Linked DNA regions of Rattus norvegicus. The protein of the gene in region 2 purifies or fractionates together with the protein of the main gene of each other region. This does not show direct contact. Links are inferred from orthologs where the notes say so. Each region holds a gene or a part of one and is shown on either strand. Other genes may lie near its edges.

The links.
Region 1: the proteins of Ckap5 (region 2) and Slain2 purify together in Homo sapiens (affinity purification with mass spectrometry; 4 studies listed by BioGRID and IntAct, counting the BioPlex papers as one, with this or other methods). This does not show direct contact. The link is inferred for Rattus norvegicus from reciprocal best matches to the Homo sapiens genes CKAP5 and SLAIN2.

The regions. Positions count from the first base shown.
Region 1 is NC_086032.1:35,655,444-35,660,441, forward strand, and holds the start of Slain2 (SLAIN motif-containing protein 2), read right to left. Parts: upstream 3,242-4,998; 5' UTR 3,001-3,241; coding exon 2,612-3,000; intron 1-2,611.
Region 2 is NC_086021.1:97,945,326-97,950,185, forward strand, and holds the start of Ckap5 (cytoskeleton-associated protein 5), read left to right. Parts: upstream 1-1,722; 5' UTR 1,723-1,781; intron 1,782-1,880; exon of another isoform or gene 1,881-2,279; intron 2,280-4,860. UniProt on the Homo sapiens protein: Binds to the plus end of microtubules and regulates microtubule dynamics and microtubule organization. Acts as a processive microtubule polymerase. Promotes cytoplasmic microtubule nucleation and elongation. Plays a major role in organizing spindle poles.

The DNA.
Region 1 (4,998 bases), on a different chromosome or scaffold from region 2:
ACGTTTTTCAGACTGAAAGTTGCAACTCATCTGTGGGTCTGTAAGTGAGGCTAGTAGTAACTAGTTTTTTCCCATAATGAAAGACAACACAATAGAAAGAATTAAAGTGCACCACGCACAGTAAAATATCCACTTTACTCACACTTAGGTTGTGCACTGTGTATCATGAAGCTGAGCCCTCCCAGCTGTCCACCACTCCTGCCTAAGTGCGTTCTATGAGATGATAACTAGCTCCTTGGGAACTCAATTAAGTTTAGGAAACAACCACAATCCCTGGAGCATTTATTATGGCCAATACAGATCTGCATCTCGAAAAAGCCCAGCATGAAAGAAACCCTTCACTTTTGATAAGCCCCGTTTCCCTTACTTAAATTTATACCAGAAGCCAGTTATTTTCCCATATAATGCCTACTCCTTCCTTCTACATTTTGTGGCATATGCTAGGGGCAAAACTTTCTCTAGATGAAAATGATATGCAATAGAATCGAGCTATGGAAGGTAGGTTTCTGACTTGCTGAGAAAGCAAATTTTACTATGAACTCTTCCAGCCACTTACAGCCACACCCTCCTACTACTCAGACACACCCCACGGCATTTTAACCCTCATTTCTTTATCTAACTCTCCCCTGACCTATCACAGTTAAAGTCGAACTCAGGGCCAGATTTTAAATCCCATAAGCATTTTCAGGAAAAAGCATAAGATATCTATAGCACCAAAGACATGGAACCATGTGAAACAGAGTAAGTAGGAATCATGTGGTCAAAACAAACTCCTGGCATGCTCACCTAAGAGTACTTGCTTTACCTTGACAAATCCATGCTCAGAAACCAAAGCAGCTAAAGACTTGCTTGGTGCCTGCCTGGTGGAGTCACTGTGCTCTACCAATCCATCTAAAACCGGCTGGTGGGTGCAGCCAATCCTCACTACCATGAGCACTGATCTCATCATCACTTGGAAGGGCTGTGATGATACTTGGATGACTCTGGATTCTTTCAAAGTGCACATGCACAGGATCCCTTCAGAGGACAGGGTCACTAACATGAGCATGTTCTAACTACTGCACTCATTCTACTAATACTTGGTATCTCTTGGCAAGAAGCAAGGCCTGTCACTCATATGGTCCTAAGTATGAGTTAAAAATACTTCTTGTAGCTGTGACACGTAAAATGCTGGAATGTTCCTAGTTCCCTCTCTGACTTATACAGTCTCCGAAAAGTTTGGCCTAGTATCTGGACCAAGGCACTAGTGCTGTTCTATAACTCTCTCACTTCACTATACACATCCTACCTTGTTTAACTGACCAAGACTTAGCTCTCAATATGACTGCCAGGGCCTCGCACACAGGCATCAGCACTTAAGAATCTTTAGAATCTCCCATAGCAGGGATCACATGCAAACTCACAAAATAGTGTTGATTTAAATAGCCAGGCTTAAGGCTAATAGTGCCCAGTCCTGGAGAATTTATTTTAGCCCAGTGCTAAAATAAAAGTACACGTGGATTATCTGACTTAATCTTCAGAATTCTACACAAGAATGAGAATTTTCCTGAGGAAAAGAAGTGAAGCTCCAAGTAACTTCTCCAAGGTCATAAACCTTTAAGTGACAAATCTAGGGCCTACATCCAGCTAGGCAGTGCTTAGAATTCTTCAATGCTGGAGGCCTGGATACCAGTCCATGAGAGATTTCGACCTCAGAGAAGTTTTAATGTCAACAGCATAAACGTTCTAGCTAAAAGTTAGGACTTCAAAAACGGATGAATTTGTGAGGATAATTTCCAGCAGGTGTTTTTAAATCAAAAATAAAACTAGAGGGAAAGCTGCTCGTGGCCTAACGAAAGTGTGACTTTAAGGTGTGGGGTCACAAGCTCATCAAGAGGTGCCTCATGACAATTACGGCTTTGGTCTGGATTTTTAAAATAGGACTCTTTCTCTGCCTCCAGAATGGCATGGAAATGATAGTCAGCTATGGTGGCTACTGCTTCACGGCTCCGAAATTATGTCAGACCCAATTCTTGTTCTCAAAAATAAAATTCAGGGTTCCTGTTCCACCGCCGCCGACTTCACACAAAGCAGCCCCATCCCTCCACTGCCCTCTTCACACACACACAAAGCAAAGCTTTACCCCAACTACCCAAAGGGGAGTGACGTTAACCCGGCCTCCCCACAAACATACCCATCTCACTCAAGTCCAAAGCCCTGACTGCTACTCTGTATGTCCCCGCACCTGGTCGTTACCTCTTGAAGCAGACCTCTCCCTATATCCAAAACGCTCAGAACACCATCCGAAAGCCAGTCTTTCACACAAAGCAGGATCACTTCCTACGAAGCAGCTTGGTACCTCTGAGTGCTCTGAGCGTGCGGGCCCACCGGGACTGTGCCAAGCCACAGACCCCATCTGGGTCCAGTTGGGTCCAGCACCCAGAGGTTCCACGACCCAGAAGAGAACTAGCTACAGACCTGTTTCCAAGGCACGCCTCGAACCCCCAAACTCCAGCCAACCTGCCCGCAGCAGAATCAGGCAAAGCCTGCGTCCCCACCACCGCCGAGCCCACCCTGCTTCCCCAGGGACACCCCTCCCCCAGGCCCACCCGGCCCGGCGCCCCGCGCTCACCAGCTCTCTTCTTCCTCCTCCCAGCCTGACAAGCGCTCCAGCTCGTCGGGCCGCAGCGGTTCTACCTCGTCCAGCAAGCCGCCCTCACCAGCCGCCAGCAAGGAGGTGGCGTCCCGCAGATCCTCACTGCTGGTCCGTCGCGGGCCCGAGCCCGCCCCGCCGCTCGCCTTGGCGCCCAGGCCCAGCGGGAAGCCCCGAGGGGACGCCGCGCCCGAGGAGGGGGTGGACACGCCGGCCCGAGCAGGGCTGCCCGGCCCGAGGAGGCCTGCACTCTGCACGGCTCCTGAGCGGCTCCTCAGCTGCTCGTTCTGCTTCTCCAGCTTCTTCACCAGCTCCTGCAGCTTCCGCACCTCCTGGTCCGCGTTCACATTGGAGTTAACGTCCTCCATGCCGGCCGCGCCGCCCGCTCCGACTCCCAAGCCGCAGGGGAAGCACGGGGGAGAGAGGCGTTACCGCCACCGCTCACGCTAGCCGAGGCGCCGGCATAGAGCAGGGCCAGGCCCCACCGCCAGGGTCCCCCCGGCTCGGGTTGCGAAGCGCCGCTGGCCCCAGCCGAGCCGCCTCATCTGCGCCGGCTCCGCGACTGGGGGAGGCGGCGCCAATATCCGGCCTCGGCCGCCATCTTCCCTCCGTCCCTCCGCCCCCTGCCGGCCAGCCCGGTCGGTGACCTCAGAGCGTCAGGGGAGGACGTGGCTGCCCGTGGGCTGAAAGAACTAAGCGCCCGGCTCGCGGTGGGGCGGGGCTGGGGGCGGGGCCTGAAAACGGGAGGGACCAAGAGGGGCGGGGGTCATTGTTAGGGGCGGGGCCCCAGCCGGAAGGGGTGTGGTGGGCGCCGGCGAAGGTGGGTCGGGCTGGGTTAGCTCTGGAGTTTTGCCCTGTCCGCCTATCCTGCCCAAAGATAGTTGTGAGCCAGGGTGAAATCGAGAACCGGGATCCAGATCCAGCTCAGGCTCCGGTTCAGCCCCGCCTTTGGCGTCTGTGGCAAGGGGTGGGTGCTGAGACTCGCGGACCGATGGCCTCGCCTGGCTGCATGGATGGTTTCCTTGGTTTGTTTGGCAATACTGAGTAGGTTCCTGCTTGAAACCGGAGACTGTCGGAGCTGGCAGCAGCCCCGGGGACCATCTGTGGCCCGTTCCATCCCCTGAAAATGAGAACCCGAATCCCGAATGGTTGAGAGCTCGGAAGTCTAATAACCGTAATTTGTTGAGTGGTTCCTATGGGCCAGACACTGCGCTAAGCACTTTTAAAGGCATTATTTCATCCGTTTAAAACGCGTGGGCGGGGGTTGTTTTGTTTTGTTTCGTTGGCTTAAGGTTTACAGCTCAGAGACAGTCGGATGATGGAAAAGACTTCTGTGCTAATCTTTCAACGGTAATTAATGCGCGTTGTATTCCTTGGATACTCCCTTTACCCCAAAAGACTTTTTAATAGTATGTCTTGACTTTTTGGTTTTCGAGGCAAGATTTCTCCGTGTAGTCCTGACTGTCCTGAAACTCGCTCTGTAGACCAGGCTGGCCTCGAAAGCTCAGCCTCTCCCTCCTTTCAAAAGCTGCGATCAAAGGCTTGTGACTCTTTTATTTTTTTTAAGTTGTTCATGAAAAGTATTTAAGCAATCCGTTGACAGGGATTAGAGAGTGTTGAAGGGTAGTAGACGTAAAATTCTGCCCTCGGTGGCATCTATTTGTACTGGTGGAAGCGACTGCAAACAAAACTTAATGCTTTGTTTCTGTCATATTGGCTCACTCCTCCACAGTTGTCCGTTGTGAGCTACTTACCTATATGGTAAGCAGCCAAACAAGCCTGCTCTCTCAACTTTTCCAGCTGATGTTTGCAGTTGACTCCCAATTGCCTCCTCCACCCTCGAACCAGTCTTATTACACCTGGGTGTGGACTCACATAAAGACTTAAACCCTTCTGCCTTTCCGTGCTGTATTTTCCTTGCCTAGACCATCCTACCTACCATATTTGACGCCTCTTTGTAAAAATCCTTGGAAGGAGTTACTGTCTTGGCGCTGAAATCACCTCAATAGTTGGCTACAGATATTTGTATTTTAATTTGGTTTGATCTGTATAGTTGACAAAAGGACTCGTTCCATTTTCCTTGCTTATGAGGCTGACATGCACATGCCTGTTTTGCTGGAATTAAACAGAAGATGAGTTTTGATAGTCCAAAAATAAATTCTTTGAGTATGCTAAAGTTTGCTGTCAAGTGTGTTTTCCTAGCTATGCAGACACATTAAAAGCATGCCTTTGCTTGTTAAAATTTTGTAAAACGAAATGCATTATCTGTGTAGTGCACATTAAATGCTACGATTGTGCCTGACACATCTGATCTCATTGTTGAAGGTTTCATCACCAAGGGTTCATCACACACCACAGTAATTCAT
Region 2 (4,860 bases):
ATCCCAGTGGGTCAGTAATATTCTTACACCTTTTCTTTGTATATGTGCATAATAAATGCCTCTTAGTAGCATTATTGGGCTGGAGAATCTATAGATCTCAAAATTGTCCTCCTAAAAAGTTGCACTCAGATTTAATAGTCAAGTTGAACATTTGCTTCTCCAAATTGTCTTTGTTCTGAGACAGCATCCTCCAGCCCTGGCTGGCTTACCATGCACTACATAGCTAAGGCTTACCTTAATTCCACATTCTTGCCTCTACCCCTAGAGTGCTAAAATGACAGTTGTGAACCACCGTATTCATATCTTTCTTCCCTAACTTTTGGTTTCTTGTTTGTTTGTTTGTTTGTTTGGTTGGTTGGTTGGTTTTGGTTTTTCAAGATAAGGTTTCTCTGTGTAAGCCTGTGCAATCCTGGAACTTGATTTGTAGACCAGGCTGGCCTTGAACTCGGAGATCTTCTGTCTCTGCCTTGTCATATTAAATCCTCACATTAAATTTTTAAAAAATAATCATTATTATATTATAACCTAATATTGTAGAAATGTTGGATATTGATTCAAGAAAGAATTTTAGCTGGGTATGGTGTTGCATGTGCCTGTAATCCCACGACTTGGAAGGTGAGGTGGAATGATGCTACATTTTTGATGCATCCTGGTCTATAGTGCCAGTTCCAAGTTATCTTGGACTACAGATTGGAACCCTGTCTCAAAGACTAAAATAGTGCAGGCAAGATGGCTCAATGGGTAGAGGTGTTTGCTGTCAAGTCTGGGGACCTGAATTTGAATTCCCAAAACCATACGGTAGAAGGAGAGAACCAATGCCTAGCAAGTTGCCCTTTGACTTTCTTAACCACTACCCATCTATAAGGCAAATAAAATGTAGTAAAATAGATTTTTGATAATCATATTTCATCAAATGAAGCCTCTCCTTTTTATAAGAATTTGATAATCACTTGAGAAGGTATTGTAGTTCATAAAATCCTTACATTAAATTTTGGATTTTTTTTTGTTTGTTTGATTTTGGTTTGGGGTTTGTTTTGTTTTGTTTTGTTTTTTGAAATAGGGCTTTTCTGGCTGTCCTGGAACTTGGCTCAGTAGACCGGTTGGCCCCGAATTCGAGATCTGCTTGCCTCAGTTGGGATCAAAGGCATCACTGCCTTTAATTTAAACTTGTAAGGAAATTTAAAATATTTAAATATTTATATTAAATTTGTAAGGAAAACATAATTATCCCATTTCCTACACAAAGAAACTGAGGTCCGGATTAACTGAGAAAAGTGATTTGTTCAAAAGAAGTACAAGACTACTATTTAGCATCCTGCCTCCATCCGAGGCTTCTTCTGCTACATCCCAGTTGCCTCTTGGTTTCCTCTCAGCACAGAACAGTATCATCAATATTTGCGATTGCAAGCTCTCAAACAAACAAAGAGGGCAGAGGTGTTGACAGCAGTTTAAGCATCAGTAGTTAGGTAAAGGCAACGTGATGATGGCTGAAAATGCATAGTTTTCCACAAACCTTTCGTTTTTCTATCTGAAGCCTTGGTAGCCATTCCTCCAGCCACTGGCTGACAAGCACCTGACAAGCAGCTCTAGGAAACGCAGCTGCGCGCGTTCCCTTTAAGGCCGCAGGCGGCGCGTGCCCATAGCCCTTTCAAACGGACCAATAAAGGGACGATAGGCGGTTCTCCGAGGACCAATAAACAACGAGGACACTGCGGGGTGTGCGGCGGCTCAAGCGGTTTTAAACGGCTTAGAGCAGGCCCCTCGGTTCTGACCCAGCGGAGGTGAGTGGACGGTGGGCCTCACTTGTTCGCCTGGACCCTGAGGATCCGGCGTCGCGCGCGCTAGGGGACCCACAGCCGCGGGCGGGGCCCTCGCGGACGCGCGCCTCCGCGTTCTCGCGAACCCGGCAGGTCTGAGGCGGCGAAGCGGGGCGGAGGCCTGGGAGCCCGCGGCTGGCAGGGCGGGGGGCGTGGGCGCTCGCTTGTGTTGGTGACCGGGGCTGGGGTTCAGGTGAGCAGAGCACGCGGCGGAGAGCTACTGCAGCTTCAGAGGTTCGCGGGCGGCGCCGGGCCGCGCCCGAAGGCTGAGATGTCCGAGGTTGGGGCGGGGGCCCTGCCAGCAGGCCCTTGGTGGAGTGCGCCTCGCGGAATTGTTAAATGAATGAACAAGAGCACGGGAGGGCTGTAGTGGGTGTGAAGGGCCTAGTTGTCTCAGAGCGGGACCAGATCCTGGTGTCCGAGCCTGCCTTCATACCTGCGTCCACTACCTGCGATGATTTTGTAAGGATTCTGTTCGTTCACCGCCCCGCCCTTGGTTTTCTCCCTCAGAAAGTGTCAGCAGAGTTCAGGTATTTTGCAGCTGTGAAGGTTTCCGGGACCAGTACAATAGCCAGCAGTGTAGGGTAGGTTAGCCAGGCCTTGCCACTTTAAGGCTCGATAGATGAGATTCTCACTTTTTAGCTCTTAGCAAATCGTTGTTGAGAGAGCTGACCAAAGTCTCGGTAATTGCTATGCAAGATTGAATGCATCCCATTTTGTTTCTTGCGTAGGGCATGATGAAAGAAATGTTGTCAGAGTGGCTGCTGTGTGTTAGAGAATATATTCTTGTTGATGAATCTTAACAATGAGTTTCTGATTCAGCACCAGTAGAGGTTTTGCAGAACTTGTCCCAAATTTATGCACGACTCTTAATTCTCCTAGGAACCAAGGCATTAAATCTTGGCCCAGATAGGATGCTTGTCTTACATTATGCATAATTATAGAACTGAAAACTCATTTTTAGAAAGGTGAAATCCCTTTTTTTCCATTTTCATCACCCTGAAAACTCCTTCTATGACCTAAAGAGCAAGAATAAGTCAAGCTAATGGTCATTTGAGACTTTTCTAAAGTGACTGGACTAGTAAGGTTTAATGAAGAGAAAATCAAAATCAACTTTTTTTTTTGTCAGCGTAAGTTAAATCAAGGTAGTAAACCTGTAATGAAAAAAATTGTACACAAAACTTGTTTAAATTTTTTTTTTTTTAACATGGGGCTGGAGAGATGACTTTTAGTACTTTGCTAAAGTACTGGTTGCTTTTCCAGAGCAGCTGGGTCTAGTCCCAGCAGCCACAACCATCTGTAACTCCAGTTCCATGGGGACTGATACTCTCCTCTGGCCTCCATGGGTGCTGCATATACATGGTACACAGACATACAGGCAAAACACACACACACACACACACACACACACACACACACACACACATATATTTTTAAAGATCTTTTATGTTTACTTTTGTGAGTGGGTACATATGCTTGATGTCAGACAAGTTGCTGGAGTTCTATCGTGTTGGTTCCGAGGATCAAACCTTAGTTGTAAGACTTGGCAGAAAACACCCTCACCATTTAACTCCCCCTTTCTGGTCCCAAAATTTTACCTTAGTTTTTAATGCTGTTCACTTAAGGAGGTGGCAAGCAAAGGTATTCCATAACAATATGCCATATACCTTCCTCTCTTTTAAAGTTTGGATTATCAATTTTGAATTATGTGGAGTGGTATGTGGTAATTCATCAGTAGCAGTTCAGTCGATGAATAAATAATTTAAACCTGGGTTTGGAAAAAGCAATTAAAAATAACTCACTTCTTTAACAATCGCTTTGGATAGTGTTAAAATATTTTTCCCAAGATTTATTTTATGAATGTTCGGTCTGTGTATGTATGTGCATTATGGATGTGTTTGTTCTCACAGACTTCCTTCAGAAGAAGGCATTGGATGCCCTGGAACTGGGGTCACAGATGCTTATAAGTAGACATGTGGGTACTGGGAACCAAACTTGGGTCCTCTGCAAGAACAACAAATCTTAAGTCTAAGCTGTTTTCTCCAGTTCCCATTGGTTAAAAGTCTTGATAAAGATGAAAACTTGCAAGGCATGATGGTTCACACCTCTAATTTTAATATGTGGGAGGCCGAAGCAGGAGGATTGCTGTGAGCACGAGACCAGCCTGGGCTATATAGTTAGTTTCTGGCCAAAATGGATTACAGAGTGAGGCCGTCTCAAAAAACAGCAGAAAAACCCAACAAGAGCAAATGAACATTTTATATTCTAGTGAAGCCAGGATGTCGTGTGTCCTGCTGAGATTGATGGCTGTTGGATGGTAAAACGTTATTCTAGATTCAGGGAGCACACTTGTGAGCCAGGAAAAAAGCACCTAAGGGAATTTAACACATTTATCTTCTGAACAATTTACAATGGTAAATTATAGTTTCTATGATCCCTCTAGCTTAGCCTGGGGCCTTGAACAAAGTAAATTCTTAAATGTGTTTACTAGCAGTAGCTAATTGTGATGGCTTGTATATGCTTGGTCCAGGGAGTGGCACTGTTAGGAGGTGTAGCCCTGTAGGAGTAGGTGTGGCCTTGTTGGGGGTCTGGGCTTTAAGATCCTCATTCTCGATGTCCGGAAGCCAGTCTTTTCCTAGTGGCCTTCAGATGAAGATGTAGAACTCTCAGCAATCCTGTACCTTCCCTGCCTGGATGCTGCCATGCTCCCATCTTGATGATAATTGACTGAACCTCTGATCCTGTAAGCCAGCCCCAATTAAATGAAATGGCCTTATAAGAGTTGCCTTTGTTATGGTATCTGTTTATAGCAGTAAAACCTTTACTAACTAAGACAGAAGTTTGGACCAGGTACTGGGGTAATGCTGTAATAGGTCTGACCATATAATAGGTCTGCTTTTGTTTGGAAGGATGTGGATTTGGGGACTTTAGATTTGGAAAGCAGTGGAATCCTTTAAGTGGGACTTAATGGGCTATCCTAGTAGGAATATGAAAGACTTTGTTGCCCAAAATGGTTTGAAGTGTGCAGAACTGGCCTAAGAGG